Linked DNA regions of Ovis aries. The protein of the gene in region 1 purifies or fractionates together with the protein of each later gene. This does not show direct contact. Links are inferred from orthologs where the notes say so. Each region holds a gene or a part of one and is shown in the gene's direction. Other genes may lie near its edges.

What was found.
Region 2: the proteins of SMARCE1 (region 1) and SS18 purify together in Homo sapiens (affinity purification with mass spectrometry; 4 studies listed by BioGRID and IntAct, counting the BioPlex papers as one, with this or other methods). This does not show direct contact. The link is inferred for Ovis aries from reciprocal best matches to the Homo sapiens genes SMARCE1 and SS18.
Region 3: the proteins of SMARCE1 (region 1) and PBRM1 purify together in Homo sapiens (affinity purification with western blotting; 9 studies listed by BioGRID and IntAct, counting the BioPlex papers as one, with this or other methods). This does not show direct contact. The link is inferred for Ovis aries from reciprocal best matches to the Homo sapiens genes SMARCE1 and PBRM1.
Region 4: the proteins of SMARCE1 (region 1) and DPF2 purify together in Homo sapiens (affinity purification with mass spectrometry; 9 studies listed by BioGRID and IntAct, counting the BioPlex papers as one, with this or other methods). This does not show direct contact. The link is inferred for Ovis aries from reciprocal best matches to the Homo sapiens genes SMARCE1 and DPF2.
Region 5: the proteins of SMARCE1 (region 1) and ARID2 purify together in Homo sapiens (affinity purification with mass spectrometry; 7 studies listed by BioGRID and IntAct, counting the BioPlex papers as one, with this or other methods). This does not show direct contact. The link is inferred for Ovis aries from reciprocal best matches to the Homo sapiens genes SMARCE1 and ARID2.
Region 6: the proteins of SMARCE1 (region 1) and BCL7B purify together in Homo sapiens (affinity purification with mass spectrometry; 3 studies listed by BioGRID and IntAct, counting the BioPlex papers as one, with this or other methods). This does not show direct contact. The link is inferred for Ovis aries from reciprocal best matches to the Homo sapiens genes SMARCE1 and BCL7B.
Region 7: the proteins of SMARCE1 (region 1) and ACTL6A purify together in Homo sapiens (affinity purification with mass spectrometry; 9 studies listed by BioGRID and IntAct, with this or other methods). This does not show direct contact. The link is inferred for Ovis aries from reciprocal best matches to the Homo sapiens genes SMARCE1 and ACTL6A.

The regions. Positions count from the first base shown.
Region 1 is NC_056064.1:40,585,840-40,588,437, reverse strand, and holds part of SMARCE1 (SWI/SNF-related matrix-associated actin-dependent regulator of chromatin subfamily E member 1), read left to right. Parts: intron 1-50; coding exon 51-223; intron 224-757; coding exon 758-859; intron 860-1,475; coding exon 1,476-1,698; intron 1,699-2,598. UniProt on the Homo sapiens protein: Involved in transcriptional activation and repression of select genes by chromatin remodeling (alteration of DNA-nucleosome topology).
Region 2 is NC_056076.1:31,045,741-31,050,062, forward strand, and holds the start of SS18 (protein SSXT), read left to right. Parts: upstream 1-1,249; 5' UTR 1,250-1,267; coding exon of another isoform or gene 1,268-1,289; coding exon 1,290-1,358; exon of another isoform or gene 1,359-1,769; intron 1,770-4,013; coding exon 4,014-4,090; intron 4,091-4,322. UniProt on the Homo sapiens protein: Appears to function synergistically with RBM14 as a transcriptional coactivator. Isoform 1 and isoform 2 function in nuclear receptor coactivation. Isoform 1 and isoform 2 function in general transcriptional coactivation.
Region 3 is NC_056072.1:48,268,183-48,271,959, forward strand, and holds part of PBRM1 (protein polybromo-1), read left to right. Parts: intron 1-642; 5' UTR 643-780; intron 781-1,041; 5' UTR 1,042-1,119; coding exon 1,120-1,167; intron 1,168-2,740; coding exon 2,741-2,893; intron 2,894-3,777. UniProt on the Homo sapiens protein: Involved in transcriptional activation and repression of select genes by chromatin remodeling (alteration of DNA-nucleosome topology). Required for the stability of the SWI/SNF chromatin remodeling complex SWI/SNF-B (PBAF).
Region 4 is NC_056074.1:39,982,697-39,987,091, forward strand, and holds the start of DPF2 (zinc finger protein ubi-d4), read left to right. Parts: upstream 1-1,487; 5' UTR 1,488-1,530; coding exon 1,531-1,562; intron 1,563-4,395. UniProt on the Homo sapiens protein: Plays an active role in transcriptional regulation by binding modified histones H3 and H4. Is a negative regulator of myeloid differentiation of hematopoietic progenitor cells. Might also have a role in the development and maturation of lymphoid cells.
Region 5 is NC_056056.1:140,643,978-140,647,754, reverse strand, and holds part of ARID2 (AT-rich interactive domain-containing protein 2), read left to right. Parts: intron 1-105; coding exon 106-302; intron 303-561; coding exon 562-3,422; intron 3,423-3,777. UniProt on the Homo sapiens protein: Involved in transcriptional activation and repression of select genes by chromatin remodeling (alteration of DNA-nucleosome topology). Required for the stability of the SWI/SNF chromatin remodeling complex SWI/SNF-B (PBAF).
Region 6 is NC_056077.1:34,113,142-34,117,646, forward strand, and holds the start of BCL7B (B-cell CLL/lymphoma 7 protein family member B), read left to right. Parts: upstream 1-1,461; 5' UTR 1,462-1,598; coding exon 1,599-1,690; intron 1,691-4,505. UniProt on the Homo sapiens protein: Positive regulator of apoptosis. Plays a role in the Wnt signaling pathway, negatively regulating the expression of Wnt signaling components CTNNB1 and HMGA1.
Region 7 is NC_056054.1:208,341,837-208,346,117, reverse strand, and holds the start of ACTL6A (actin-like protein 6A), read left to right. Parts: upstream 1-1,373; 5' UTR 1,374-1,542; coding exon 1,543-1,567; intron 1,568-4,281.

The DNA.
Region 1 (2,598 bases):
TAATTATGGTAATTGGTGACCTGATTTCCAGATCATGTTGTTTATTCCAGATTATGATGATGGCTTTTCAATGAAGCATACAGCCACCGCCCGTTTCCAGAGAAACCACCGCCTCATCAGTGAAATCCTTAGTGAAAGTGTGGTGCCAGACGTTCGGTCAGTTGTCACAACAGCTAGAATGCAGGTTCTTAAACGACAGGTCCAGTCCTTAATGGTTCATCAGGTAAAGACAGAAAACATTTGTTATGGTAAGATGGGCCTGTGCCGTAGGTGCCCGGTAACCTGATTATGTACCATGCATGAGTGTGCCTGTTAAATATTTATGTCCAATATAACCCGTTCCTGATTCAGGGAAGAGGCTGGAGGGCGTAGACCCTTCCCAGAGATTAAGTAAGTTTGTCATTAAAACTGTAACAGGGAACCTTTTGACGGAAAGTGTATTTGTTAAGAATTTTGAGATATCCTATCAACTTTTACTAGCCTACTAAATATTTTTCTTCCAAAACATTGCTGAGAGCTGACAGTATTGTCTAACTTACTCTTGTTAATGAGTTATCCTCTCTGTGCTGCATTTTTACATTTTTTAAATTTTAGCACATTATATAATAAGTAATTTAAATTTAAAAAGCGAAACACTTATCACACTGTGAAAAAGTGTGGACCATTAAAAAAAAGAGACATATTTTCTGTGTTTGACATTAGCTTTAGAGAAGATAATTTAGTAGTAAATAACAAAGCTTGGTCTTATCTTTTACAGCGAAAATTAGAAGCTGAACTTCTTCAAATAGAGGAGCGACACCAAGAAAAGAAGAGGAAATTCCTGGAAAGCACAGACTCATTTAACAATGAGCTTAAAAGGGTATGGAATGTGTTACCTATACTTGTATCACTGTGTCTGTTACTTTTTTTTCTCATTCTTTTTTCCAAAATAGTGTTTTTATGTAGTGTCATTCACTTTGAAACAGGGTTAACTTTGCTGTAGCTGGTAAGATCTTTACTTTATAAAATAATTTCCATTTTCTGGCAACGTTGCAATAGGTTTGAAACATTGTATAGTATACACGTTCCCTGAACTAGGCCTGAGACTCTAGAACCCTCTGGTATTTTAAACTCTCATACACTTGTGAATTATTTTCATTGCAACTTACTCATCAAATGTCTTCATTAGCTGTAGCTCACAGTTTGCACTTCACACGAAAACAAGTAAATAGAGTGTTTGGCAGCCTGAAATGTAAAACAGAAGCTTTGAGTATAAGCCAGTGCTTTCAGCGTTGCTTCACCAACTATTCTGGAACACTTGATACTACATGGCTGCTAGGGCAACTTTCCTGTAGACACAAGAGCTTGGTTTTTTTCCTGCCATATATATGAATATAGTTCTTAGCCAAGAAAACCCACTTGTGAATAATTTCTCTGATTCAGAGATTGTAAGAAAAGAACATGACTAAGAGAGTGTTTTGTTTTCTGACTACTAGTTGTGTGGTTTGAAAGTAGAAGTGGATATGGAAAAAATTGCCGCTGAAATTGCACAAGCTGAGGAGCAGGCTCGAAAAAGGCAGGAGGAAAGGGAAAAAGAGGCGGCAGAGCAAGCCGACCGCAGCCAGAGCAGTATCGTTCCTGAAGAGGAGCCAGCAGCGAGCAAGACCGAAGACAAGAAGGAGGACGAGAGCATGCCGATGGAGACAGGTAGCCTGCCAGGTGATCGCAGAGTAAATGTTGAGGGCTTTTACAGCTGTCTTTAATTCTGACTTTCCTTTCTCAGTGCTTTCTGGAGGTCACTCTGTTAATCTTGCCTCTTGAATTATTCTCCATATGACATATGCATTCTTTCTTCCTAAATCTTAATCTCTTATAATAGATTCACTTAAAGTGTTGGTATTGGTACAAAATAGCAGTGATGTGTTGCCTTTAGTCTGGCTGTTTGAGGTCTTGGGTATTTGCCCAGATTGAGTCATATCATTCCCTTACTTGGGATATAAAGTATTGAATGTAGTGGTTTAACGGTTAAGGGTACTGGCCTGGAGGGCCCACAGATCTGGGTACTGTTCCACCCCATACTAGCACTGTGACCTTCAGTCTAGGTAAGTTAATTTCAGTTTCCTCCTTAGTAAATATTCTAGCACCCACCTCTTGAAATTGAATTCCCAAGGATAAAGAAGCAGATGTATATAAAATCATCATTACTGGATTTGGCATGGTATTGGCACTCAGTATTTTAACCTTTATTGCTAAAATTGTTTAAACAGCATGTGGTCCTTGCCCTTAAGATCAGTCATCTTTGGTGTCCTAGAACAGAGTTGGGCAAATAAAACCTGCAGGCCAAATCCTGCCTGCCACCTATTTTTGTAAATAAAGTTTTATTGGAACCATTTGTTTACACATTATCTGTGGCTGCCTTGGGGCTCCAGCAGTGTAGTTGAGTAGTTGCAACTAAGACAGCCTGACTCACAAAAGCTGAAAATTTTCTATCTAGTCTCACAGAAAATGTTTATTGATTCCATCCTAGAAAAATTCATACTTGCAGTTTTACTGATTTTCCTGACTAAAAACATGCCTCAAGGCAAACAACGTGCAAAGCTTACGTGAAGTACTGATTAA
Region 2 (4,322 bases), on another chromosome or scaffold:
AATTTGCTGAATGAATGAAACTCATGACCTTTTTGTGAAGAGCATTTACTTGAGACATATTTTCAAATAAGGAAATTTTCTTTTTTTTTTCCGGTTTATTTTATATATAAACCAAGGGATTGATTTCTGAGCCTCATTAATGTTGGGTGACATTTTTATATAAACTTTTCCTTCTTGTTACATGAAAGTTTAACTTTACTGTGTATTAACAAACCCTGCACCAACATATTACGGACCTTTGCCCATGTCCCTTCCACAATTTGGAAACTTTTGGCTTTTTCCCTCACACTGATTAGCTTGGGCCTCATGTACAAGCAAGCCACTAAATACATAATTGCAAAAGAAAAGCGCGAGGGTGCCCTATTTCAAAACCTAATTCCAAAGATGCAAGTCAGATGAAACTGACCCACATTTCCCTCAAGGGTTTATCCTAAGAGGCGAACTCTGGCCGCTGCAGCCAAGCTGGCCGACTGCCCATGAAGTACAGGACATAGCCTTCGTTTCCCGATTTTGGGTCGCGCTTACTTTCTAATTGTTCGGCAGGGCTGTGTGCGCGCACGAGACCGTGGACTCGGAGGTGCGCACTTCGGGGCGTAGCCGAGCCATTCAAACCAGCGAATCGGCGCTTCCCTAGTCCGGCCACCCCTGCCCGGTCTCAGCAGATGCTCCACGGGTGCGCACGAAACTCCCCGTTCCTGACCTTCCTCCTCCCCTCTCCGGATACCCGCACAGCTCGGGGCGGCCACTTCTACCCAGGAGGGGCTGAAGATGAAGTTGGCAAAACTGCTCGAGCTCTAGAGCGGAGAGCCGAAACGCCGCCGAGGGACACCCGGGCGCGCGGAGAGGGAGGCAAGTGGCCCCGCGCGAAGGGGGCGGGCCGGCTCGAGCGCTCGCATTTCCTGTGACAGGGGCTGCCCTAGCCGCTCCCTCTCCCGCGGGCGGCGGGACCATTTCCTGAATCGCTGAAGCGGAGGGAGGGCTGGGGCGCGGCCCTACCACGAGCGCAGAGGGCCGGGGGTGGCGGGGAAGGACAGGCGGAGGAACCGGAGGGCGACCGAGAACAGGGACGTTCTGCGGGGACCGCGGCTCCCAGGTACTGCGCAGAAACCGGACTAATTCGGGCCAGAGCTCCTCCCGCAGGCGGGGCAGGCCGGCTGCCCGTCGGGCGCCGGAGCATCCCCCCTCCCCGCGAGCCCGACGTGGTTCGGCCCGAGAGGCCGGCGTCTCTCCCCCAGTTTGCCGTTCACCCGGAGCGCTCGGGACTTACCCGTAGTGGTGACGGCGGCAACATGTCCGTGGCGTTCGCGGCCCCGAGGCAGCGCGGCAAGGGGGAGATCACTCCCGCCGCGATTCAGAAGGTGAAGCCGCGCGGCGTCGGGGATGCCAGGCCCGGACCGCGTTGAGGAGGAACCCGGGGGTTGGGCTCGGGCCGGGCTTGTCGGCCGCGCCGGGGGCGGAGGCGGGCCTGCTGGGCTGGCGGGCGGGTGTGGGAACCTGAGCCGCGGGGCTGCGCCCGAGTGGGTGGCGGAGGGGGCGAACTGCTCCCCTCGCGGAGTCTTGCGCGCCCCCTCGGGCTCCTTCCTACGGGCACAAAAGCCCTAGTAACCGCCGCCCGATTTCTCTGGGGATGGGGCGGCGTTCGCACGGCGGGGCGCGTGCGCCCGGCGGCGGCGGCCGCGCGGGGCAGGGCTGTTTTCCGAGGCCCGCGCCCCCCGCGATCCGCGCGTCGCTCCGGAGTTACTTTGGCGTCGCCCCGCCCCGCGCGGTGCGGCGGCCGCTCCGGGTCGACCCCACCGCGGTCCCCGGGGTGGGCCTAGGAGAAGTAGGAGCGCTGCTTGCTCTCGGTGCTCGGCTGCAAACTCCAGCCGAGTTGGGGAGCTCTCAGCAGAACTTGGGGAATGCTGCGGGAAACCTCGGCCGAGGCTCCGAGGCGGACGAGGGAGCACCCTCTAGACTTCGGGGTTCTCTCGGAGGCGCTTCTCCCCTCCGGATCCACCCCCGACCGATTTACAGCTGCAGCGCCAAGCGTAGGCGCCGAGGCTGCGGTGGTGAGCATGGTCCCTGCCTGCCTTCAGGGAGCTTAGGGTCGAGTGATGGATACAGTCTGAGCCTCGTGATCAGTTTCAGAAGACGTGATACACACGCGGGGAGCTGCGCTGTGGCCGCGGTTACTTGCTAGTTGGGGACACAAAGGTTTCTTTATTGTTTTCTGCCCCTTGTTGCCTTTGAGCACTGCAGCATTCTGAATTTTAGTGAACCAGAGTTTGTAAAGTTATTTGCTAAATTTTGCAGTTTACCCTAAATAGTTTGGTTTTGTTTTATGCACCGGAATAAAGATCAAAACGGAAAAAAAGTCAACTTTCAGGACTTGTCAAGACACCATCGTATGCCTAGTAGTTTATGTTAATAGGCTTCTGTTGACTCTCAGGCTCTTTACAGTGTGGCGTTTGACATTTGCCCAACTGTTGCTTTATTTATGAAGAGACACGCTTGGCATTGCCTGAAAATGCAGTGCTTTTTGTATAGCGTGCTGGGAGAAGTCTGCGACCTGGCAAACAGCTACGAGTACACGTACACAAAACGTGTTTCTGGAAGGCTTCACTTTTTGGACTGTAGAAAAGTTCTGAGTTTGTATTTCCTATGAAGAATTTTTCTTACCTACATCTTAAGATAATTTATCGTGGGTGACTAACTAAAGAGATGCTGATCAGTTAAAGTGTTCATCCTCAGCTCAGGAGAGAAAAAGGATCCCACATTAAGTGCCTGATTGTATAGCGTGAGGGAATGACGTTAGATACAAGACAAACCCAGACGTTCTAATGGTGAAGATTGTTAAACCGTGGAATCTACTGAGAAGATAGGTTGTGAAATCATTAGATTGGAGATTGTATTAAAACACATTCTAAAGACAATTTTTTTGGCATCTGATGAGTAGATATAAGAAGAAAACTGCAATTTTTTTTTTGAAGGGCATGTTAATGTTTTTTTTTTCCACCAAGTAAAGACATTCATATGCAGAAAAGAAGTCACACTTTTAAATGGATCTTCATGTTTAATTAAAAGAATTACATTAACTAAATTAATGAGAAAGAGTGGTTATGGTATTAAAGCTTTGAAATCCTGGAAGGGTGGGGGCGGTTTGAGGAGGAACATCTACTCCTGTCCCTTGATAAATCTGAGCCTTTGACATCTTGAGTGGTTTGCTCAGGATAGCTTGACAGTAAAACTGGCCTTTTAATTGCTACATCAGTGCTTTTTCCTCAGCACCACTCTGCTTAGATGCATTATTTAATCCTTAAAGCCAGTTTTGCTTTGAATTGTTTTCATAGTATGATAAATATATGCTTGTTTTTAAACTTTTGGGACAATTATAAGGTTGGCTCATAGGGTCTGTGGTTAATATAGTACTTACCGAGAAATTATTGGAATTATTGCATATTTGGAAAGTCACAAAACCATGCTGCATAAAACTGCTGGGAAAGATTGAGGGCAGCAGGAGAAGGAGGCGACAGAGGAAGAGATGGTTGGATGGTATCATGGACTCATGGGCACAAGTTTGAGCAAGCTCTGGGAGAGGGTGAAGGACAGGGAAGTTTGGTGTGCTGCAGTCCATGGGGTCTCAAAGAGTCAGACATGACTTAGTGACTGAACATCAACATAAAACTTGGAAGCTAGCCAGCTATCTCCTTAAGCCTCCTGTGCTGAAGTTTTCATCAGTTTACTTCATTCTGGATTAGGACAGATTAGCTTCTACTGCAGGGGGCACAGGTTCAATCCCTGATTGGGAACTAAGATCCCACAAGCTGGGTGGCAGTGGTTAAAAAAAAGAAATTGTTGATTAAACATAACATCCCAAAGATATAAAATAAGATCTTTTATGCAGAGCTATATTGTAGGTATAAAAAAGAACTGTGGAGTCAGTTCCTGTATAGATAAACTTTTATAGAAATCTTAATTTTTTATTTTACTTGATGCATGAGACTTACAATAAACTTTTTTTACTTTTATTTCAGATGCTGGATGAAAATAACCATCTTATTCAGTGTATAATGGACTATCAGAATAAAGGAAAGACCTCAGAGTGTTCTCAGTAAGATTGATATGAAAGTTTTTTGGTATTTCTTTTTCTATGTTGGTTAGTTTTTTTAACTTTCCTTTCTTTTTAAGAATAGCTTTATTGAGATATAACTCACATACCATATAATTCACCTGTTTTAAAGTGTACAATTCAGTGGTTTTAAGTATATTCATAAAGTTTTACTGTTAATGCTTTGATCAATTTTAGAACATTTTCAACAGTCCGGAAAGAAACCCTATCATTA
Region 3 (3,777 bases), on another chromosome or scaffold:
AACTGAAACTCCAATACTTTGGCCACCTAATGCGAAGAACTGTGTCACTAGAAAAGACTCTTAGGCTGGGAAAGATTGACGGTGGGAGGAGAAGGGGACGACAGAGGATGAGATGGTTGGATGGCATCACCGATTCGATGGACATGAGTCTGAATGATCTCTGGGAGTTGGTGATGGACACGGAAGCCTGGGGTGCTGCAGTCCATGGGGCAGCAAAGAGTTGAACATGACTGAGCGACTAAACTGAACTGATACACACACAGAAAAGGAAATGGCAGCCCACTCCAGTGTTCTTGCCTGATAAATCCCATGGACAGAGGAGCCTGGCGGGCTGTGGTCCATGGGGTCCCAGAGAGTTGGACACGACTGAGTGACTAACAGACACACAGCATACACCATGCCCTCTCCCCCCCAATGATGTACATTTTTTATTTGATTTTCAGTGAGTTATTTATAAAAGTAATTTTGACCTTCTGCCAATTGGTTGAAAGGCTTTAAAAAAAAAAACAACCTTTGTAAAGTTGTGTGTAATATCTTTTCAATGCTGATAGGACTTTTGGAAAGAAATGTCTCTCTCTGGATTTTTTGGTGGGGAGGAGTTTACCAGACTGCTCACCATAAGCCATTCTTGGTTTGTTCCAGCTTGCTAACAGTTGGTGTCGCATGTGAGCCTTTCACATGTGTTCATGCTCCATTCCAGCTGTGATTGAACTCTGCTCTTATTGACTAGGGGGCAGTTGGGCAGGCATGCTTCGTTCCTGGAATTGACAGTCATTCCATGTGAGTAAAGGGGAACCTCAGTGAGACATCTTTAAGCATGTGAAAAGCATTTGGTGTTACAATGGAAGGAATATCAGATACTGTTGGTGCCTGAGCCTTTGCAGCAGTTTGGTTGGTGCAGAACTGATACACTTATTTTCTCCAGTTCTCTTCTTTCTTTCGCAGTTCTGCTTGAATGTTTTCTGTCTATTCGTAATCATTTTTACTCCTTTTGACCCTTCTTTTTATTTCCCCCTTCTCTGCCTTGTTCTTCTCTTTCAGTTTTGAATACATTAACATTGAATCAGCACTTCTAAAGCCCTGCTTTCTCCCAGTGGCTTCACTTGGCCTTCAGACATAATGAGGAGACTGGCTTTTCGAGGAGCTGGTTGTGCTCTGGTAAAGCTGGTAAATTACTGATCATCTACATCCTTTCCCTTTTCTGTCCTTTGGCTTTTCCCTTCTACCTTTCTTAAATTTTGTTATCCTTTTCATAGAGTCCCACCTTATGTTCATCAGATTCACTTGAGTCCTTGTCATAGATTGTTTATAAAAGCTTGGTCCTTAGTTTCTGCGTCTTACTCAACTGAGGCCAGTTTATCAGCCTTTTATGAAACAAATAAAAATAACAAAACTTGGCTGGCCTTGGCCTAAGTCCTTTGAAGCCTTAGCCAGTTGCAGCAAACTAATAGACTGTATAACAAACTAAGTCCTAGGGGAAGGAACCTCGTGATATTAGGCTCAGTTTTTAAACACCATGTGGGCCGTGGTTGAGGGGAAGAGGTTAGAGACTTCTTTTGTTTGTTAGTTGGCTGCCAGAATTTTTATTTTGTTGGTTTGTTTTGTTCCTGTTTGCGATTCCCTGCAAATCCCCAGTTTTTCTCTCCATATTACTGGCAACCCATTCTTTCAGCTGCTGGTGTCTGTTTCCTGAAATTGGATGTTGATAAGAGACCCTAGGATCAGTTTTTTCTTTTTTCTTTAAAGAAAGACCTTTGAAATCACAGTATCCTATTTGATACTGTTGTTAAATTGTATAAGCATTGTAGGACCTTCTTGGGTATATATCCTTCCCCTCTCGATGTAGCAGGTCATTTCAGTGGTTGCATTTTTTATGTTATAGTCAAATATATATAAAGTTGTGTAAAGATTACTTAGCAGCCTGCCTAAAACTAGAGCAAATATTTACATGTTTCTGGGAGGCCAAGGAGGACCTAAAATCTCATTTTTGAGGTATTCTTCCAGATCTTCTGCTGAAATGTAAAGTTGTGAGCTCATGGGGAATACCTCATAGAACTGAAAAGGTTAGTCTGAATTGACAGAAAAATTTCCAAATGGAGTTTTGCTACTTTAGTTAGCATAGGCATGGCAAGTTGAGTGTTTTCTCGGTTATGTCTTGTGAAGCTTTCTTTACTGAATGGAGAAAATTCATTTTCAGTGTGTTAATTTTAGGGTACATCTGAAATGCTAGAAGGTTAGTCCTCTATCCCCCTACTCTTTTGTCACAGGGTCTGCTTCTGCAGGTCTCCCCCCAACACACACATCCTGGCCTTCCTAGAAAGTGGTCATAATCGTAAGGAACTCTGGGGAAAACAGATGAGGCTGCTCACTCCAGAGCTGACCTCCTTAGGGTCTCTGACCCTGAGGTAGTACACCAGCACACCATTATATGTGGGTGTACTGTTTTATGTGGATTTTCAAACTCCATTCCAAGGTAAATTGGAGGCCAGAAGTGGTTGTCATTCAAAATTGGTAAATACAGATGAGTATACTTTTGCTGAATTTGTCCCATCCAGTGGAAAGTGTAGCATTCTGATAAGTGAAGGAGCTAAAGCAGGGTCTAGGACTTGCATTGAAAAAGCATAGTTAAGCTTCTTTGCAACAGTGAACATATCTGAAGCTTGGTAGCAGGTGGCCAGCTGAGGGCTTGGTGGCAGAGCATAAATTTCAATTTTAGAACATGGCTAATTCTTTCTTATAGAAGAAGTTGGATTCCATGGGTTCCAAGAGAAGAAGAGCTACCTCCCCTTCCAGTAGTGTCAGTGGGGACTTTGATGATGGGCACCATTCTGTGTCTACACCAGGCCCAAGCAGGAAAAGGAGGAGACTTTCCAGTCTTCCAACTGTAGACCCTGTAAGTAACTTGAATCACAGTTTCTGCCTTCTGCACGATTCGCTACCCTTCCTGTAATGATAAGCTGTTAAGATGCAAGGCCTTTCAGCTTCTTTTTCCTCTGGCTTGATCTTCTTAATCTTTCTTTCATGAAAATATTTAGCCAAAAGCCTTACAGTAATAGTATAATTTAATATTATGGAATAATAAAGAATATTATTTTGTCATATAGTCACTAGAGTAACTGTGCTTGTCCTGTGCCAAGCTCTCTTGTGATGGTTGGAATATAACCATGTGTAAGGTGAGCTAGTTTTTCACATGAAACTTAGAGGCTGGTGTTGGGGAAGCAGAATGTAGACGGATGAGCACATAAATAAAAAGGTAGCCTCCGTTAGTGATGAATGCTAAGAAGAAAAGTTTGGATGATCCAGGCTGTTTTGGCCATGTCTTCAGGAAAGGGTTCTTTGTGATCAGAAGGCACCAGCCCTGCAGAGCGCTGGAGAGGAATGTTCCAGACCGAGGAGCTGGCTCAGGAACGGGTTTGATGTGTTGTGATTACAGAGAGGGTCAAGAAGGAGAAGGAAACTGGCAGAGTCTGCCCAGCCAGAGTTTACCCTGCATACTCTGTGGGCAGTGTTAGGAATTTAGATTTTATTCTCTGGCTGCTAAGAAGCCCCTCTGTTGGATGCTTTTTAAGCAAGGGTGATATGAACTGATTTGGTTTCAAAGAAAAGAAAAATCACTAGTACCATATTCTGATGAAAGATTTAATCATTTAAATAATCTTAAATAAGGAGACATAATGTCAGCATATTTCAGATTTGGGTTCCCATGTGGGAATTTGGGGATTCATCCTTTCTCCTGGCTTTTTTTTTTTTTTAATAATCCTAATGCGTACCATAACT
Region 4 (4,395 bases), on another chromosome or scaffold:
GTCTGGAGAATTCCATGGGCAGAGGAGCCAGATGGGCTACAGTCCATGGGGTCGCAGAGTCGAACACAACTGACCAACTAACACTTCTACTTTTCACATTCATGCTGAAACACATACTTATGAATTCTTTTGGTATCACCTTTGATTCCCACAATCATTTGGGGAACAAGAGTGCAACAGTATTGTCCCTAGGTTTTCCTTCCAAGCTGCTGACATCTATTCTGCAAATTTGGTGCAGGGTAAACAATGACAAATACCACTCAACTCTCATCTGCCAAACCTGATTTTAAGGCACAATGATGGTAAGATGTGTCCTGATTCCGAAATACTAAAATGGGGGGAGGGCAGAGAATATGTGCATCTTAGAATTGATGAAATACGGCATATTACCAGGATCAAAGACCAAGCCCTGGGGACTCTGACGGGTCTAGGTAGATGTGAGGACAGAGAGCCAGTAAAAGAAGCTGAAGGAGCTGGCAGTGTGATAGGCAGCCAGCCAGGAGAGTGTGTGTCTCAGAGATGAGTTTGAAAAAGAAGTGACTGGCCAGTGTTGTCATGAGGGCTGATAGGCTGATAAAGACAGGGAGATCTCGAAATCTGTTGAAATGGAGATCGTGGTGTCTTTGTTAGATGTTTCAATGAACTGATGAGAACAAAATCGCCATTAAACTGGGCAGAGAGACACTTGGAAATAAATCAGCAGGGATAGTAAGTATAAACAAGAATATGTGCTCTGAAAGGGTGAAAAGAAAGAGGGTGATAAAGGCAGAAAGGGCTTAAGGAAGGGCTCTGATATTTTTTAAAGAGGATATTAAGCCATGTTTGCAGATGAATTTGCATGATTCAATAGCGAAGGAGAACTGAATGGTACAGGAGAGGAAGTTGCAGGAGAGAAGTTCTTCAGAGGAGGACAAGAGCTTAGGGGTAGGAAGCAGGGAAGAAGAGGTGGAGATCAATTAAGTTGGTGGCAGGAAGGTGGGGGAACTTTTGTCAGACCCAAATATTCAGGCCAAAGATCTGCCAGGTTCTTGGAGTTAATATTTCTCTCACTAAAGTGGGCAGCCCAAGAGGAGTGTGCACTGCTCTTACCTTCGGCTACCCACCAACCCCTGAGTCTGTACGTGAGGGCAAAGGGTTATTAACCACGAGGTTAAAGGTCAGCGAGGTAACAGGACGCATGACCTCCATCTAGACCACCTCTGGGCTTGCCAGTTCTCACCAACCTCTCACCTTCTCATTTATGGACCCGGTCAGATCCTCTCGCTTCTACCTTCTCACTAAAAGGATGAGGCAAAACTGGAGCAGAAGCCTCGGGGCGCGCGCCCGCCTCCATTGCGCCTGCGCATTCGTCCCCGGATTGCCAGGCCGGGGAGAACTGGCCAGAAGCTCATTCTCCGTCGCTCGCTCTCGGGCGCACGCGCCCCGGTGGCGCCTGCGCAGAAAGACAAGGAAATTGGTTCCCTCTGCGGTCCCAGCGCCTGCGCGCTGCGGGCTCCGGGCCTCCCGGCCTGAGGGAGAGAAGCCGGGAAGATGGCGGCCGTGGTGGAAAATGTAGTGAAGCTGTGAGTGGCCGTTTCTTTCTCTTCTAGCCTGGGAGGTCTTGTAAGGGACCTGGAAGCAGGGGGCGGTGTGGGAACGGACGAGGCGGAGAGAGGGACGTGCCCAGAGAGGCCGTGTTGCGACTCCTAGAGGGGAGGGCAACAGGAGACTCGGGAAAGACGTTGCGCTTCTTTGGAAACTTGTGGAGGCCCTGAGGGGGGCACACGGGAGCCCGTGACGGGCAGCCTCCCTGTGGGGCTGGGCGCTCCCTCAGGCGGAAGGTTTCCAGAGTATGGCGCCCTTGTTGCGTACGGCACACGGTCCGGGCTTCGCCTCCGTCCGGGAGAGCGGGGCCGACCCCCGCGAAGCCTGGCCGCCGGCCCCTCCCCGTCGGCTGCCCGCAGCGGGCCCCGGAGGAGCAGGCTCGGCCGCCCTGGCGCCGTTAAGCGCTCAGGGCTGTTTTGTTCTGAACAGCCCCGTGACGTTCCTGGGCGGGCGGGGGCGGGGGTGGGGTGGTCCTTGAGTATCAGGTACCCGAGACCAAAAATATTCCTGGGGAGAATTTGTGGAAGAGCAAGATCCAGAGGGAAAGAACTTCAGGGAAGAGGGGCTTGGCGCCGGCCAGTCCCAGCCATCGGAAAGTGGGCACTGGACGGACGCAGTCCAGGACGCCCTGGCCGCCCCGAGGGGCATCTGGGTCGACCTTCTTCGCTCTGCAATACTCTTGGACTGGGCAGATTTCAAGCAAAGTTAAAGTTCATGGTTGTTTGGCAGACTGAGAATGGCCTGTTAGCTGTGAGTTAAAGATGCTTTGGGACTTGATTTAATCCAGCCTCCTCCCCGAAGAAGAATCTCAATGAGTTTTCCAATGGGTTCTTGCACCCCCACCCCCGTCGGCCAATACAGCAAGCTCTTTAATGGACACATTTGGCTTGGTGCAGGGGTAGGAAAAATGAGGTGACCAGTTGTGCAGCTTGGCTTTTGGATTTTGACTGGGTGAGAAGGTAAAGGTTTGGGAACTCTTCTAAGGGGCACATAGCTTCTCAACTGTCTTTGTAGTAGGCTGAGCCCCACTCTTCCCAAGAGCCTTTTTTCTAAGAGTACATTGCTTCTCTCCCTCCCCCTGCCTGGAGCCTTTTCTTTGAGAATGCTTTCCCACTTCCATTAAGCTAAGTGCCTTCTCCTTGTGGGTTTTTTTTTTTTTCCTAACGTGCTTTCAGCTCCATCCTGCTGCCTATTTCAGCCACCCCTACTCCCAGCACTATTTATTATCTTCCTCTCTGATCTACCCACTTCAGTTTCCCCAGCACTCTCTCCAAGCTGACATTTCCCTCAATTTAGAAATGACGCTGCTGATCTACCATTTATATGTTATCCATACTGACTCAGATGTTCTTTCTTTGTTTCCCTGTCTTTCTCTTTGTTGACTGCCCCTGTCCCATTGTAAAGGGAGGTTTTACACAGGTTTCATGCCTCTCAAAAAAGAATCAAAGCTTCTACCTTGGAAAGCTTACTGTAATGGGGGAATGTCAAAACTTGCCTAGGTTTAAGAGTTTTATGTAGTGAGATTGTTTATGTTGGAAGACTTTCATCTGAGAAATAAGGTCACCAACCCTTTCATGCAGTATTGGAAGTGAGGGGTTGCCCGTTTAAATAGAGCTTGACTTCTTATTTCTCTTTAAAGATCTGTAGAGATAGTGAAGGTCACCAACTGCTGATTCCTGAGTACCAGTAATAAATAACCAACTTTCTACTCCTCAGTTCTAGCTGTAAAGAGCTGTGGACCACAGTTAATACATTTTCGTACAGAACCTGCTCTTTAAAAAGAGACTTCCAGTCTTCCTGTACCATTCTCATCCTGTAAAGAGACGCTTTTCTTGACCACGGTGTGCCTAGTCTTCTGACTGCTGAGGTTTTACATTGAGGTCAGGACTACTAGCTCATCTTTTCTGACTTGCATCTTGTTCTGGGAGAAGAATTTTCCTGTTTGTAAATTCTCCATCCCTCCCAAACGTGGTGTCAGAATTGAAACAATCTTTAAGAGGTCTTACAGGGCAAAATAATAGTATAAAAGAGCTGTGGTTGCTGAAATCCTCTGAGTTAGGTAACAAGATCTGGAGAATGTTAGCTTAAAATTTCTTGTAGGAGCCTTAGATTCTTAAGAGAGCTCTCTCATTCTTTTTTGCTCTATCCTCATCAGATCCTCTCTTCCTCCAACTTGTATTTCGTTATCAGCTCTCACTCACAATGCAGTTTGCCCCACCTTCTGAAATCCCATTTAACTCACCGGAGCTTTGATAGAACATCTCTCGTCATATCTCAACCCCACCCCCGACAGTTTCCAGCCTCCTTGCTCTGACTTTGCAGTTCTCAGCCTGTCTAGCCCTTCTTTCCATCTGACTTACAGTGTCAGTATCAATTTCCATCAGCAGAAACAAAGGCGCTGCCGCACTCAGCCTTGTTTATCCAATTTTCCTCTGTTTAGTGAGGACATGGCTGCCTCCTAAAGGCGAGCAAATATGAGCCTATTCCTTCTCTTTATTCTCCAGCACAGGCTTCATGCCTACCTCAAATTACAGTCATTACAGCACATTGAATCAAGCCAGACTATCTTGTGATGTCACTGCCTGCGTGCAGTGTATGTCTTTGTTGGTTGCTGGGAACGTTCTAAGCTGTGCCTCAGTGGCTGCCCCATGAAAGCCCCTCTTCGATTCCAGAGCAGGGTTTGTTGCTGCAGCTTGAGTTACGAACATAAACGACAGAGATTTACTGTGTTCAACTTCTCATGCTTGGAGTCTCCCTCTTGTAGAATATGTCAGAGCTTATCTAGTTCAGCCTCCCTAGTCAATAGCATAC
Region 5 (3,777 bases), on another chromosome or scaffold:
TAGTAGCAGTGAATATACTGTTGCTGTTTGTGTAAACATTGTTAGAATTCAGTGTTTTTTGTTAATGTGCTAGTTATTAAAATTGAATGTGTGTGTACTTTACAGAACAGTCTTTCCAAATCATACAGTGAAGAGAGTGGAGGATTCCAGTAACAATGGGCAGGCGCATATTCATGTAGTAGGAGTAAAACGTAGGGCTATCCCACTTCCCATTCAGATGTACTATCAGCAGCAACCTGTTTCTACTCCTGTTGTTCGTGTTGATTCTGTACCTGATGTATCTCCAAGTCCTTCACCCGCAGGTATTAATTTTTATTGTGATTAAATATTATCAATTTAATAAGAAGGCTAAATGAAAACATGTATTATATACATTTAAGATGTATGACTTGTCCTTGTTTTTCAGTAACATTTTATTTCTTATTCTATTTTATCATATTCATATAATGCAGAGTTGTTAATTTCTTAAAACTGTTTTCTCTTGAAATTAAGTAAAATAATTTCTACATGCTGCTTTTCAGTCATTTCACTGTGAATTTTAACTTTTCCTTATATTTTCAGGAATCCCTCATGGACCACAAACTGTAGGAAACCATTTTCAGAGGACTCCTGTTACCAACCAATCTTCAAGTTTGACTGCAACACAAATGTCTTTTCCAGTACAAGGTGTTCATACTGTGGCACAGACTGTTTCAAGAATTCCACCAAATCCTTCAGTTCATACCCACCAGCAGCAAAATGCTCCGGTGACCGTCATTCAAAATAAAGCTCCAATTCCTTGTGAAGTTGTTAAGGCTACAGTAATCCAGAACTCTATACCCCAGACAGCAGTTCCTGTTAGTATTGCTGTGGGAGGAGGAGCTGCACAGAGTTCTGTGGTTCAGAATCATAGTACAGGGCCACAGCCTGTTACAGTTGTAAATTCCCAGACACTGCTTCACCATCCATCAGTAATTCCACAGCAGTCTCCATTACACACAGTGGTACCGGGGCAGATACCTTCTGGCACTCCTGTTACAGTGATTCAGCAAGCTGTCCCACAGAGTCATATATTTGGCAGAGTTCAGAACATACCAGCATGTACTTCTACAGTTTCACAGGGTCAACAGTTAATCACCACATCACCCCAACCTGTACAAACTTCATCTCAGCAGACATCAGCTGGTAGCCAGCCACAGGACACTGTTATCATAGCACCCCCACAGTATGTAACGACTTCTACATCCAATATTGTCTCAGCAACTTCAGTACAGAATTTTCAGGTAGCTACAGGACAAATGGTTACCATTGCTGGTGTCCCAAGTCCGCAACCCTCAAGGGTAGGGTTTCAAAACATTGCACCAAAACCTCTCCCTTCTCAGCAAGTTTCATCAACAGTGGTACAACAGCCTATTCAACAGCCACAGCAGCCACCCCAACAAAGTGTAGTGATTGTAAGCCAGCCAGCTCAACAAGGTCAAACTTATGCACCAGCCATTCACCAAATTGTTCTTGCTAATCCAGCAGCTCTTCCAGCTGGCCAGGCAGTTCAGCTAACTGGACAACCAAGCATTACTCCATCTTCCTCACCATCACCTGTCCCAGCTACTACTAACCAGGTCCCTACTGCCATGTCATCTTCTTCCACCCCTCAACCGCAGGGACCACCTCCTACTGTCAGTCAAATGCTGTCTGTGAAAAGGCAGCAACAGCAGCAGCATTCACCAGCACCTCCACAACAGGTACAAGTACAAGTTCAGCAGCCACAACAAGTACAGATGCAAGTTCAACCACAGCAAACGAATGCAGGAGTTGGTCAGCCTGCTTCTGGTGAGTCGAGTCTGATAAAACAGTTGCTGCTTCCAAAGCGTGGTCCTTCAACTCCCGGTGGTAAGCTTATTCTCCCAGCTCCACAGATTCCTCCCCCAAATAATGCAAGAGCTCCTAGTCCTCAGGTGGTGTACCAGGTGGCCAATAACCAAGCAGCAGGTTTTGGAGTGCAAGGGCAAACTCCAGCTCAGCAGCTATTGGTTGGGCAGCAAAATGTTCAGTTGGTCCAAAGTGCAATGCCACCCACTGGGGGAGTGCAAACCGTGCCCATCTCGAACTTACAAATATTGCCAGGCCCGCTGATTTCAAATAGCCCAGCAACCATTTTCCAAGGGACTTCTGGCAACCAGGTAACCATAACGGTTGTGCCAAATACAAGTTTTGCAACTGCAACTGTGAGTCAGGGAAATACAACTCAGCTCATTGCTCCAGCAGGAATTACCATGAGCGGGACCCAGGCAGGAGTTGGACTTCAGGTGCAAACGCTTCCAGCCACTCAAGCATCTCCAGCTGGACAATCATCTTGTACCACTGCTACTCCCCCATTCAAAGGTGATAAAATAATTTGCCAAAAGGAGGAGGAAGCAAAAGAAGCAACAGGTTTACATGTTCATGAACGTAAAATTGAAGTCATGGAGAACCCGTCCTGCAGACGAGGAACCACAAACACCAGCAATGGGGATACAAAGGAAAATGAAATGCAGGTGGGAAGTCTTTTAAATGGGAGAAAATACAGTGACTCAAGTCTACCTCCTTCAAACTCAGGGAAAATTCAAAGTGAGGCTAATCAGTGCTCACTAATCAGTAATGGGCCATCGTTAGAGTTAGGTGAGAATGGAGCATCTGGAAAACAGAACTCAGAACAAATGGACATGCAGGATATTAAAAGTGATTTGAAAAAACCTCTAGTTAATGGAATCTGTGATTTTGATAAAGGAGATGGTTCTCATTTAAGCAAAAACATTCCAAATCACAAAACTTCCAATCATGTAGGAAATGGTGAGATATCTCCAATGGAACCACAAGGGACTTTAGATGCCACTCAGCAAGATACTGCCAAAGGTGATCAACTAGAAAGAACTTCTAATGGACCTATATTAACTTTGGGTGTTTCACCATCTGTGAGCAGTATACAGGAGGCCTCAAATGTGGCAACACAGCAGTTTAGTGGTACTGATTTGCCTAATGGACCTCTAGCTTCAAGTTTGAATTCAGATGTGCCTCAGCAACGCCCAAGTGTAGTTGTCTCACCACATTCTGCAACCTCTGTTATACAGGGGCATCAAATCATAGCCGTTCCCCACTCAGGATCAAGAGTGTCCCATTCTCCTGCCCTGTTGTCTGACGTTCGGTCTACAAATGGCACAGCAGAATGCAAAACTGTAAAGAGGCCAGCAGAGGATAATGATAGGGAAACAGTCACAGGAATTCCAAATAAAGTGGGAGTTAGAATTGTTACAATCAGTGACCCCAACAATGCTGGCTGCAGTGCAACGATGGTTGCGGTGCCAGCAGGAGCAGATCCAAGCACTGTAGCTAAAGTAGCAATAGAAAGTGCTGTTCAGCAGAAGCAGCAGCATCCACCAACATACGTACAGAATGTGGTCCCACAGGTGAGTCATTTTCCTGTCACATTTCTCTTGAAAAATCCTGATGCGTAATTATGATTTTAGGGGGAAATGCACTGTTCTTCCATGTTTTACCTTGAAAAGGTAATTGGGAGGACCTTTTCCAGGGATGAGGGAGCCCGGTGGGCTGCCGTCTATGGGGTCGCACAGAGTCGGACACGACTGAAGCGACTTAGCAGCAGCAGCAGCAGCAGCAGCAATGTACTCAGGAGAAGGCAATGGCACCCCACTCCAGTACTCTTGCCTGGAAAATCCCATGGATGGAGGAGCCTGAAAGGCTGCAGTCCATGGGGTCACTAAGAGTCGGACATGACTAAGCAACTTCACTTTCCTGCATTGG
Region 6 (4,505 bases), on another chromosome or scaffold:
GTCACCACACCTAGCATGCTCTGCCTTGAGTTTTCTTTCTCTGTTGCTTTCCTTATCCTCACCTGAAAGGCAGGGGGAGTGTTTTACTCATCCTTGCCTCAGTGTCCACCGCTGTAGGGCATGTAGCAGATACTCAAGATAGCTCTTTGGTTCAGTTATTTTGAATCAACGGCTTTGAGAAACATGTGCTACCTTTGATCCCACTATTAGCAGACCCATCCTTCCCTCCACATGGTAGTTCAGCTCTTTCATTCCTCAGGCGGGCAGACACTATTCCTGGGGTCCTCATCAGCAAGATGATACGTGCTTATCGAGCCGTGATATTAGTGGATGACAGAGGGGATACAGTCATAGATGCTATGTCAGGTTCAGGGTTAGTGAGACAGTTCTCTGGCTACACAGAAGGAAGTTTCTCTACAGGTGAAAGAAGTAGCCGCTACCAAGCAATGCAAACTGTCACCTGCTTCCTTTCTGTTTCTTGAAGCGACTGCTTCAGGGCCCTCTCTGCATACGGAAAGCATGAATAAATGCCTGGGGTGACGGGAAGACAGGGAGCTGCACTGAAGACTGACTATTCACCCAAACATCTACTGAGCATCTACAGCGTCTGTGGACACAGTGAGGACTTAGAGCAATTGCATCTACTGTATTCTCAAAATTCAACCTCAAGGTCATTTTTTCCCGATGCCTCTGGACACCCTTCATCTAGATTAAGGCTGCACCTTGTAAAGCACTTCCCTTTAACCTAGCATTTATAAAATGGCATTTGAAATGCTTGTTTTCTGGTCTGCATGGTCTGCTCAACTGGAAGCTCTTTGAAAGCAAAACCCAATTTTGTCCTCAGCACTTTGCCTGCCAACTCTCGCAGTGCAGGCATCATTTAATCAACGATTGCTGAATTAAACGAGACATTGATGTAGAGTGTCAAGTATGGACAAACTGGCACCTCAGGATCTCAGGGGGAAGTCTTGTTGGAATTCTAACTGAATGTTGGAAGAGTAAGTGGTCATCAAGAAGAGATAAGAGAATTCCAGGTGAGAACAGAGGTGTGCAAACGTTGGAAGGCATACTGAAGGTGTGAAATTCTCCACAGTTGGAGCACATTGGTGTATCTGGGGAGCGAGGGGCCAAACAGGAGAGACAGCTGTACAGGATAGTGTAGAACCTCAGTAACACTGGTGTCAAGTCCATAAAATATAGATTATGGTTGCAGCCTGGCCAGAGAATTAAGATATTGCTCTGGGAAAAAGCCAGAGACCCCACTGGCAGTGCCTCGCACCTCACCCTGCACACAACACGTGCTGCCAGCTGGCCCGCAGACCCTGGCTCGCTGGGGAGCCCAGGGGACTCTGAGATCCCCAGGGTGGGGCCTGTTGGGTGGGACGCCCGGGGTGGGGCACCTGGGGCGGAGCGCGCAGGCGCGCTGATGCCTCGAGCCCCAAGGGGAGGGCGGGTGCGCGCACTTCTCGCGCACGCGCGCACGGAGGGGGCGACGGCTGCGGTGACGCTGCTGCGCCGGGCGGGCGGCGGCGCGTGAGGCGCGCGATTCTCGGTGTCTTGGGAGCAGTGCCCCGGCCCCCGCCGTTCCCGCCGCCGCCATGTCGGGTCGGTCGGTCCGGGCCGAGACCCGCAGCCGGGCCAAGGATGACATCAAGAAGGTGATGGCGGCCATCGAGAAAGTGCGGAAATGGTGAGGGGCCAGGCCCAAGGGTGCTGGTGGGGGAGGCCGCCGGCCCGGGTCCAGAGCAGCGCTGAACTGGCGGGCAGGGTGGGAGCCGACCGGCAGGCGCTTGGGGGGAGGGGGGAGCGGAGAAGGCGGGAGGAGGGAGCCGCTCGCGTCGGCGTGAGGTCAGAGGCCGCGCCGGCCGCGACCAATCAGAGGGTTTCCCGGCCCGCGGGCCCGCCCACCTCCCCCTACCCCCGGCAGCGCGGCGCGGGCGGGGAGCGGCCGGCTTCCGGCGACGCGGAGTCTGGGGGGTTTGTTTAGCTGCGGGTCCGCGCGGGCGTAGTCTCCGCGCCCGCCTGCCTGAGGAACCTTTTGCGTTTTGAACTGTCCCGTATACTAACTAACAATCTCTGAGGGGTTCCCGTTGGCCAGACTGAGCACTCTGCGTATTAAGACGTCTCGGTTAGGTGAGAACTTTAAGGCAAGCCACCTGCCACGGGGCCAGGGAGTCAGAATAAAAATTGCTGTCTTTCTCCTAATAGGGCGCACGCGCGCGAGCTGGATAGGCATTTTCTCTTGGTGACCTGGGAGCTGTTAGTAGAAGAATCAGGATCTCCCCCTTGTTTGGAAACGGCTCCTGTCATGTTCATTGCAGGCGCAGGCTGACCGCCTATTTTGTACCGGGAGTTCCAGTGCGTTATCACCCTAAGTTTTTACAGCCAGGTGTTTTCACCAACTTCTTGAGTACTTTTCTCTAGCTGATTGCTACCGATAACTTTTACTTTACTAATAACTTTAAAGCCGGGTAGGTGTTAGCTCCCTCCAGGAAGCCTTCTCCAAGACTTCCTGCCCTTCACCCTCCACTCCCTTCAGAGTCATTGTTACTGTTTAGTCGCTAAGTAACGTCCTACTCTTTGCGACCCCATGTAGCCCACCAGGCTCCTCTGCCTATGGGTTTTTTCCAGGCAAGAATACTGGAGTGGGTTGCCATTTCCTTATCCAGGGTATCTTCCCAACCCAGGGATCGAACCCGCGTCTTGTGCTTTGGCAGGTGGGTTCTTTACCACTGAGCCACCTGGAAAACTGAGGGTCATCATTACCTTGGACTTTATTTGCATGTTTATTTGTCCATTTTGCTACAGGACCAAGTTCCTCATCTCTAAGGACTTAAGAATACTAGTTAAATAGTTAATGATTTTCCTTCTCCGAATCTAATGGTCTAGGTTTTGTGAAACCTAGGACTGGGCATCCCTTCCTCTTCTGTCCATCTCTCTCCTCATCTGCAGCCAAGGGCAGTTGAGCATCTTCTGTCACCTGGAACTCTGTACCCGGCTCCCTGTGATCTGTGCCTGCTTCAGGACTGGCTCAGTTCCCTGGTCCATTCATTACTTTGTATTTTTCTTCAAGTGTGAATTTTTTAGCACTCTTTTGCTTAGGAAATAATGCTTCATTGATCTCTTCTTGTCCTTAGGATAAAGACCAAAAATGATCCTTCATACCTCACTAGACTGGCTCAAACTGCCCTCTTTCGCAAGATGCTGGCCATCTTTCAGTTGGAGCCACACTACCTTTCCTTCCGCCTGGCAACTCTCCTCTACCCACTCCTTCCACTTGCCTAGTTATTGCCTGGCTGTGCTCTGCAGTTGCTTCCTCACCGAAACCTTTCAAGAGCCCCAGTCTAAATCGGGTCCTCTCCTAAATGGAACTTTCCACAGTGGCATTAGGTTGAACCATAAGACATCTATGTTTGCCTCTTTTATCTGCAGAAATGGCAGTTTGATGTGGTTGAATCTAATGATCCGGTTTCTAACTGAAATGAGTTGTGTGGTGTCTGTTTACAGTTGGAATTCAGGCTCGGGAGAGTCAGGACTGTGCATCTTGTTCTGTGTGCCCAGGACCTAGCAGAGGGTCGTAGATTAAATATTTGTTGAATAAATGAGTGGCTTGTCCAGGAATTAATTCCAGTTTCTAAGTCTTTAGTTCATTCTTCTTTCTGTTACATCACAGTCTCTATATTTTTGTGATGTCATTTGCTGAATCAAATCAATAACAGCAGTTACTTTTTTTGCTTTTTTGTGCTCACATTGGGACTCGAAACTTTCAGAAGTCACACTTCAGGCTCCCCAACTTTGGCCATCTGTAATCTGCACCCTTATTCAAGAATGTTACTTGCCTTTCCCTCCCCAGGTATGTGTGGGGAGGGGAGAACAGCTACTCGTTTTTTTTTAAGGCGTATCTCAAAAGTACCCTCTTCTGTAAAACGAAATCTTAAAGTCATCTTTTCATGGCGCTTGGCCTTCACCTCTTCCAAAAGCCAGTGTGAGGCTCAGTTCTGTTAGCTGAAAGCATCATGTCCTGCTCCTTGGTTATTGGAATTGTGTTTCAACCCAGAGTTTCCCTGGTGGCTCAGACGATAGAGTCTGCCTGCGATGCGGGAGACGCAGGTTTGATCCCTGGGTCGGGAAGATTCCCCTGGAGAAGGAAATGGCAACCCATTCCAGTATTCTTGCCTGGAGAATCCCATGGGTGGAGGAACCTGGTAGGCTACAGTCCATGGGGGTCACAAACAGTCGGACACAGCTGAGCGACTAAGGCACCCAGAGTTTCACAGGAGTTTTGCCTTCCATCCTGATCTTTCAGCCTTCTTTCTTGCCGCCTTCACATATTACAATGATTTCTTTACTTATCTTTCATTGCTATGAGTTCCCAAGATAGGGACGCTATCTTATATATCCTTTATCGCCTGTAAGGCTTTGTATAATAGGACTTATCAGTGGGATTGAATTAATTTGGGGGAGATGAAGAAGTTATGCAAGATGGATACCTGAGTTTGCAAATG
Region 7 (4,281 bases), on another chromosome or scaffold:
TCTAAATGATTGGGATACCCTGATGCTGGGAAAGATTGAAGGCAGGAGGAGAAGGGAAGGCCAGAGAATGAGATGGTTGGATGGCATCACCATCTGGTGATGCAGAAGGAAATGGCAACCCACTCCAGTGCTCTTGCCTGGAAAATCCCATGGACGGAGGAGTCTGGTAGGCTACAGTCCATGGGGTCCCAGAGAGTCGGACACAACTGAGCAACTTCATTTCACTTCACTGACTGGATGAACATGAGTTTGAGCAAACTCTAGGAGATGGTGAGGGACAGGGAAGCCTGGTGGGCTGCAGTCCATGCAGTTACAAAGAATCAAACACGATTTAGTGAGTGAACAACAACCGAGATTACACTAAGTGAATAGTAAAGGGTTTTCTCACTAGCCTTGTTCCCTATCCTACAATCACTTTCTGCCACTCTGTGGCACTGAGATTGATGGAGTTAATCAATTGTTCTTAAAAACTACCTATATGTCTAGACTCTAGACAAACTAATTTAAGGACGGCTATTAACCTCAAGGATTTACAACATGACCGTGATTTGGGAGTTTTTATAGATCAAGCTGCCTGCTAAGAGGCAAAGGGACAAATTGTTGTAGTAATCCTGGGAGAGGGACAACGGTGATCTGACTGGGTTGGTAGACACAGGGGACTAAGAACAGACCGTTCCGAGATGTGTTTAGGATTAGGTGCTCGCTCAGGTGAGGACTGATTACATTGTATTACACCTGCCTCACAGGATAAAAGGAATTGATGACACATTTTAAGCGCTACTAAAGTTAACTGGGATACTGTGTCATCTCCTTCTTTTAATTATTAGTAACCACTTTTAAAATTCCAGGGTCTTATCGGTTTGTCTGGTTTACTGATGCCCTCTACCCCAAAGTGGAGGATAACATTCAATTTTTTCAGTTAGTTGAAAATACTTTTTCTGAAAAAAATAAAAACAAAAAACAAAAAAACACCAACCCTCATTCACTACAAGCCCAAACCACGGGTACTCCTGGTGGAGACACTTTCTCAAATTCCAGACTTCTTTTTCAGAGGCTTAGCTTGCTCTACCGGATTCCCACCTCTCCTCCGCTCCCAGCTACATCCTGAGCCCGCCCCAGACTGTTGCCTCCAGCCTTCCTCCTCCCCCTCCAGCTCCCTCCGCCCCACTTTCCCTCCCACTAAAGAAGCCCCGCCTCCCCGGTTCCGCAACCCAACTCCTTCCCTCCTTCCGTCGCTTTCCTCTCTCCCCGCCCCTATGGCTGCCTTCGATTGGCTAAACTGGCTGTGCCGCGACAAGGCTGTAGCACAGCCTTATTTTTATTGGTTGAAGTGTAGCCGGGCCTCTTGTGATTGGCCGATAGCAGGAGACAGCAAGTGTGACTGCGTTCCGGGTGTGTGTGGCCGCCGCTTTGTTGCCTGAGGGGGGTGGTGGTGGAAGTTAAGGGAGTCGGGGGCTAGCGCTTCTGCAGACCCGCAGTCGCAGCCGTTGCAGTCATTTCGCCAGGTGGCCTTTACGAGTAGAAGTCTCGTCGACAGCAACCATGAGCGGCGGGGTATACGGGGGAGGTGAGTGCGGTCGGTCGGGAGAGCGCGCCTTTTTAGCTTGTGGGGTTTGTAACCGCCGCCCCCAGCCCTCCCCTTCCCGGCGGCCCTTCCGGTCTCCCCCTGGGGACCCCGGCCTCCCCGCCCTATCCCCGCCCCGCGCTCTGCCCGCCTCCGGAGCCCACCCGGCTCGGCGAGCGCTACAGGCGCCGGGAGTCGCCGCCCCCTACGGCCCCTTCCAGCCTCGGGCCGCCGAGGAGCCGACTTTTGGGGCTGCGCGCGGTCCGGGGCTGGTCGGGCAGCTCCACTCGCGGGCCAGGCCCGGAGAGCCGCGGCTGGAGTGACTGGCCGCAGGGTCACCTCTCTCCCAGCCGGCTCTGTCGCGGTGTGCGCGCCCGTTTAAAGTTGGGAGGTCCCAGCAGTTCGTCGGCGTGGCTGGAGGGTTTCCGCGGCGTCTCGGAGGTGGCACAGCGAGCCGCGAGGAGTGGAACTGATTGGAGGAGTCGTGGCCACTCAGGACACAGCCTCCTTCTCCATCCGCGCTCACGCAGCCTCACGCCTTTCAATAACTTCTCCCTATTTGTTGACTGTGGATGCTCCGGACTTATTCGTGGGCGACTCTGCACCGGCGTAATTTAGGAACATATGCAATTTAAGGTTGCTTAAAGATGGGTGGGCTCCTGTGTAGTGAAAGATTACCATGGGCCTGGGTTGTAATATCAGCCTCACCACTTAGTAAGCTCATTGGCCTTGGGTAAGTTACTTAACTTTTGCCAACTTCAGGTTCGTCGTTTGTAGAATGATAATTCCTACCCATTGGGGTGGTTGTGAAGATTAAACGGCGGTAATGCTGCACTTACTACTAAAAGTATGATCCAAGGAGCAGCAGCAGCAGCATCACCTGCAAGCTCTTTAGAAATGTAAAATCTCAAGCCCCACTCTAAATCTACCGAATTGGAGCCTCCGTTTTTTCGAGATGCTTAGATGAAGCATTGATGTATATGATTCATGTTTTTGATGAATTAGAGAAGAAAGAAACTCAAAGTCGTGCTTTTGTTACTGTGTTCAGTAAGGATACTGTTTTCTGAGCGGATGGAATATTATAGGTAGGAGATGAAAATAAGCTTTTCAAAGTTTTTAGTAGTTTTGAAGTGAAGCTTGAGTTTCTGCTCAGGTGACACGCTGGCCCTCACCCTCTCCTTCTCCATATATGTTTTTGGTTTTGATTTCTGAAGTGTAAGAATCAGTTTTCCATTGTTACTTTGGAGAAAGCCTAGTGGATCTTCATGATTTACTTTTTCCCCACCTGAAGATGTAATTCTGACAAAAAAGCTGAGTATACGTGCTCGTGGAGGCTGCAGACTCTATTTTTTGTTTTGTTTCGTTTTTGGCCTCACCATACAGCCTGTGGGATCTTAGTCTCCAGATCAGGGACAGAACCAAGCCCCCTGCGTGGGAACCACAGAGTCTTAATTACTGGACCACTAGGGAAGTCCCTCTCCAGTGTTCTTGCCTGGAGAATCCCAGGGAGGGGCGAGCCTGGTGGGCTGCTGTCTATGGGGAAGTCCCTGCTGATTGTTTTGACTCTCAGGTTCACTCATCTAAGGACCTAAAGGTTGTCCACTGAGTATTTTAATGTGAGTAAGGTAGAAATGGATACCAATAATTGCAACAGTCAACATTTATTGAGTGCATCCTGTGTACCAGGAACTGTTCTTCATGACAGAGGCTTGTAATGCATTGTATTTAATACATGCATTGTCAGTTAATCCACAACAGCCATGGGAGGTGGTTCTACTTTTCCCCATATTACTAAAGAAGAAAATAAGGCATAGAAAAGATTAACCAGCCTAGAGTTACATAACTTTCTAGCAAATGGGCAACAGGAACTTCTGGGATAAAGAAAAGGCATTTCAGTAAAACCTTTTCTCATTAAAAAAATTTTAAGTCATTTTTCAAGTATATAACCACAGCATATTCATGTATGATTTAGATATTCAGAATAAACATCACTTTGTTCATGTAGAGGAGTATATCTTAAAGCCTGTTTCACATATAAAGTATTTAAAACTGACAAAAATAAGTGTATGATTTTGTGTTTGAGCTGCTACTGTATGACCAGTATTTATAGTGGGTCACATTTCCCAAAAGGTTTACTGTAAAAGGCAACGAAACCTCCCACCCACATTTTGTGTGTAATTAACTTAGTAAACTGTATTTTTAACTAACTTGCTTATAAAATGAATGTTTGTAGTTTAATTTTTAAAATTGGTAGCTCTTTTATTCCAGTGTTTTTTTCCTGATCAGACCTAACACTCCGCTTTAGATCTAATGCACAGTTCATCCAGATTTTCACACTTTCCATAACTGGTTTCTGGGCCTACTCATTGCTCCTGTGTCTATCTTACACGGTACTCCTCTGCTTCAGTCTCCTTTCCTTGACAGAAATAAACAGGTATACTACCGGTCCATCTTCGATACTTCATTACTTTTATCATTCCACAGCCCCCCTTCCCATCTCTAATCATAAAAACTTCTCAAAATCATTCTCCCTGTGAATTGGGGCACCCTTGTCCAAACAAAAAAGTAAAACAGCCTTCTTACCTCTTCGCAAAGTCAGCTTCCAGTATCGTGTTGGAATGTTTTTAAGACCAGGTTAGAAAATTGCCCTCATTGCTTCATGTTTTCTCAGAAATATCACTTCACCCCTAAACTTGGAAGCCATTTACTCAGGAGTA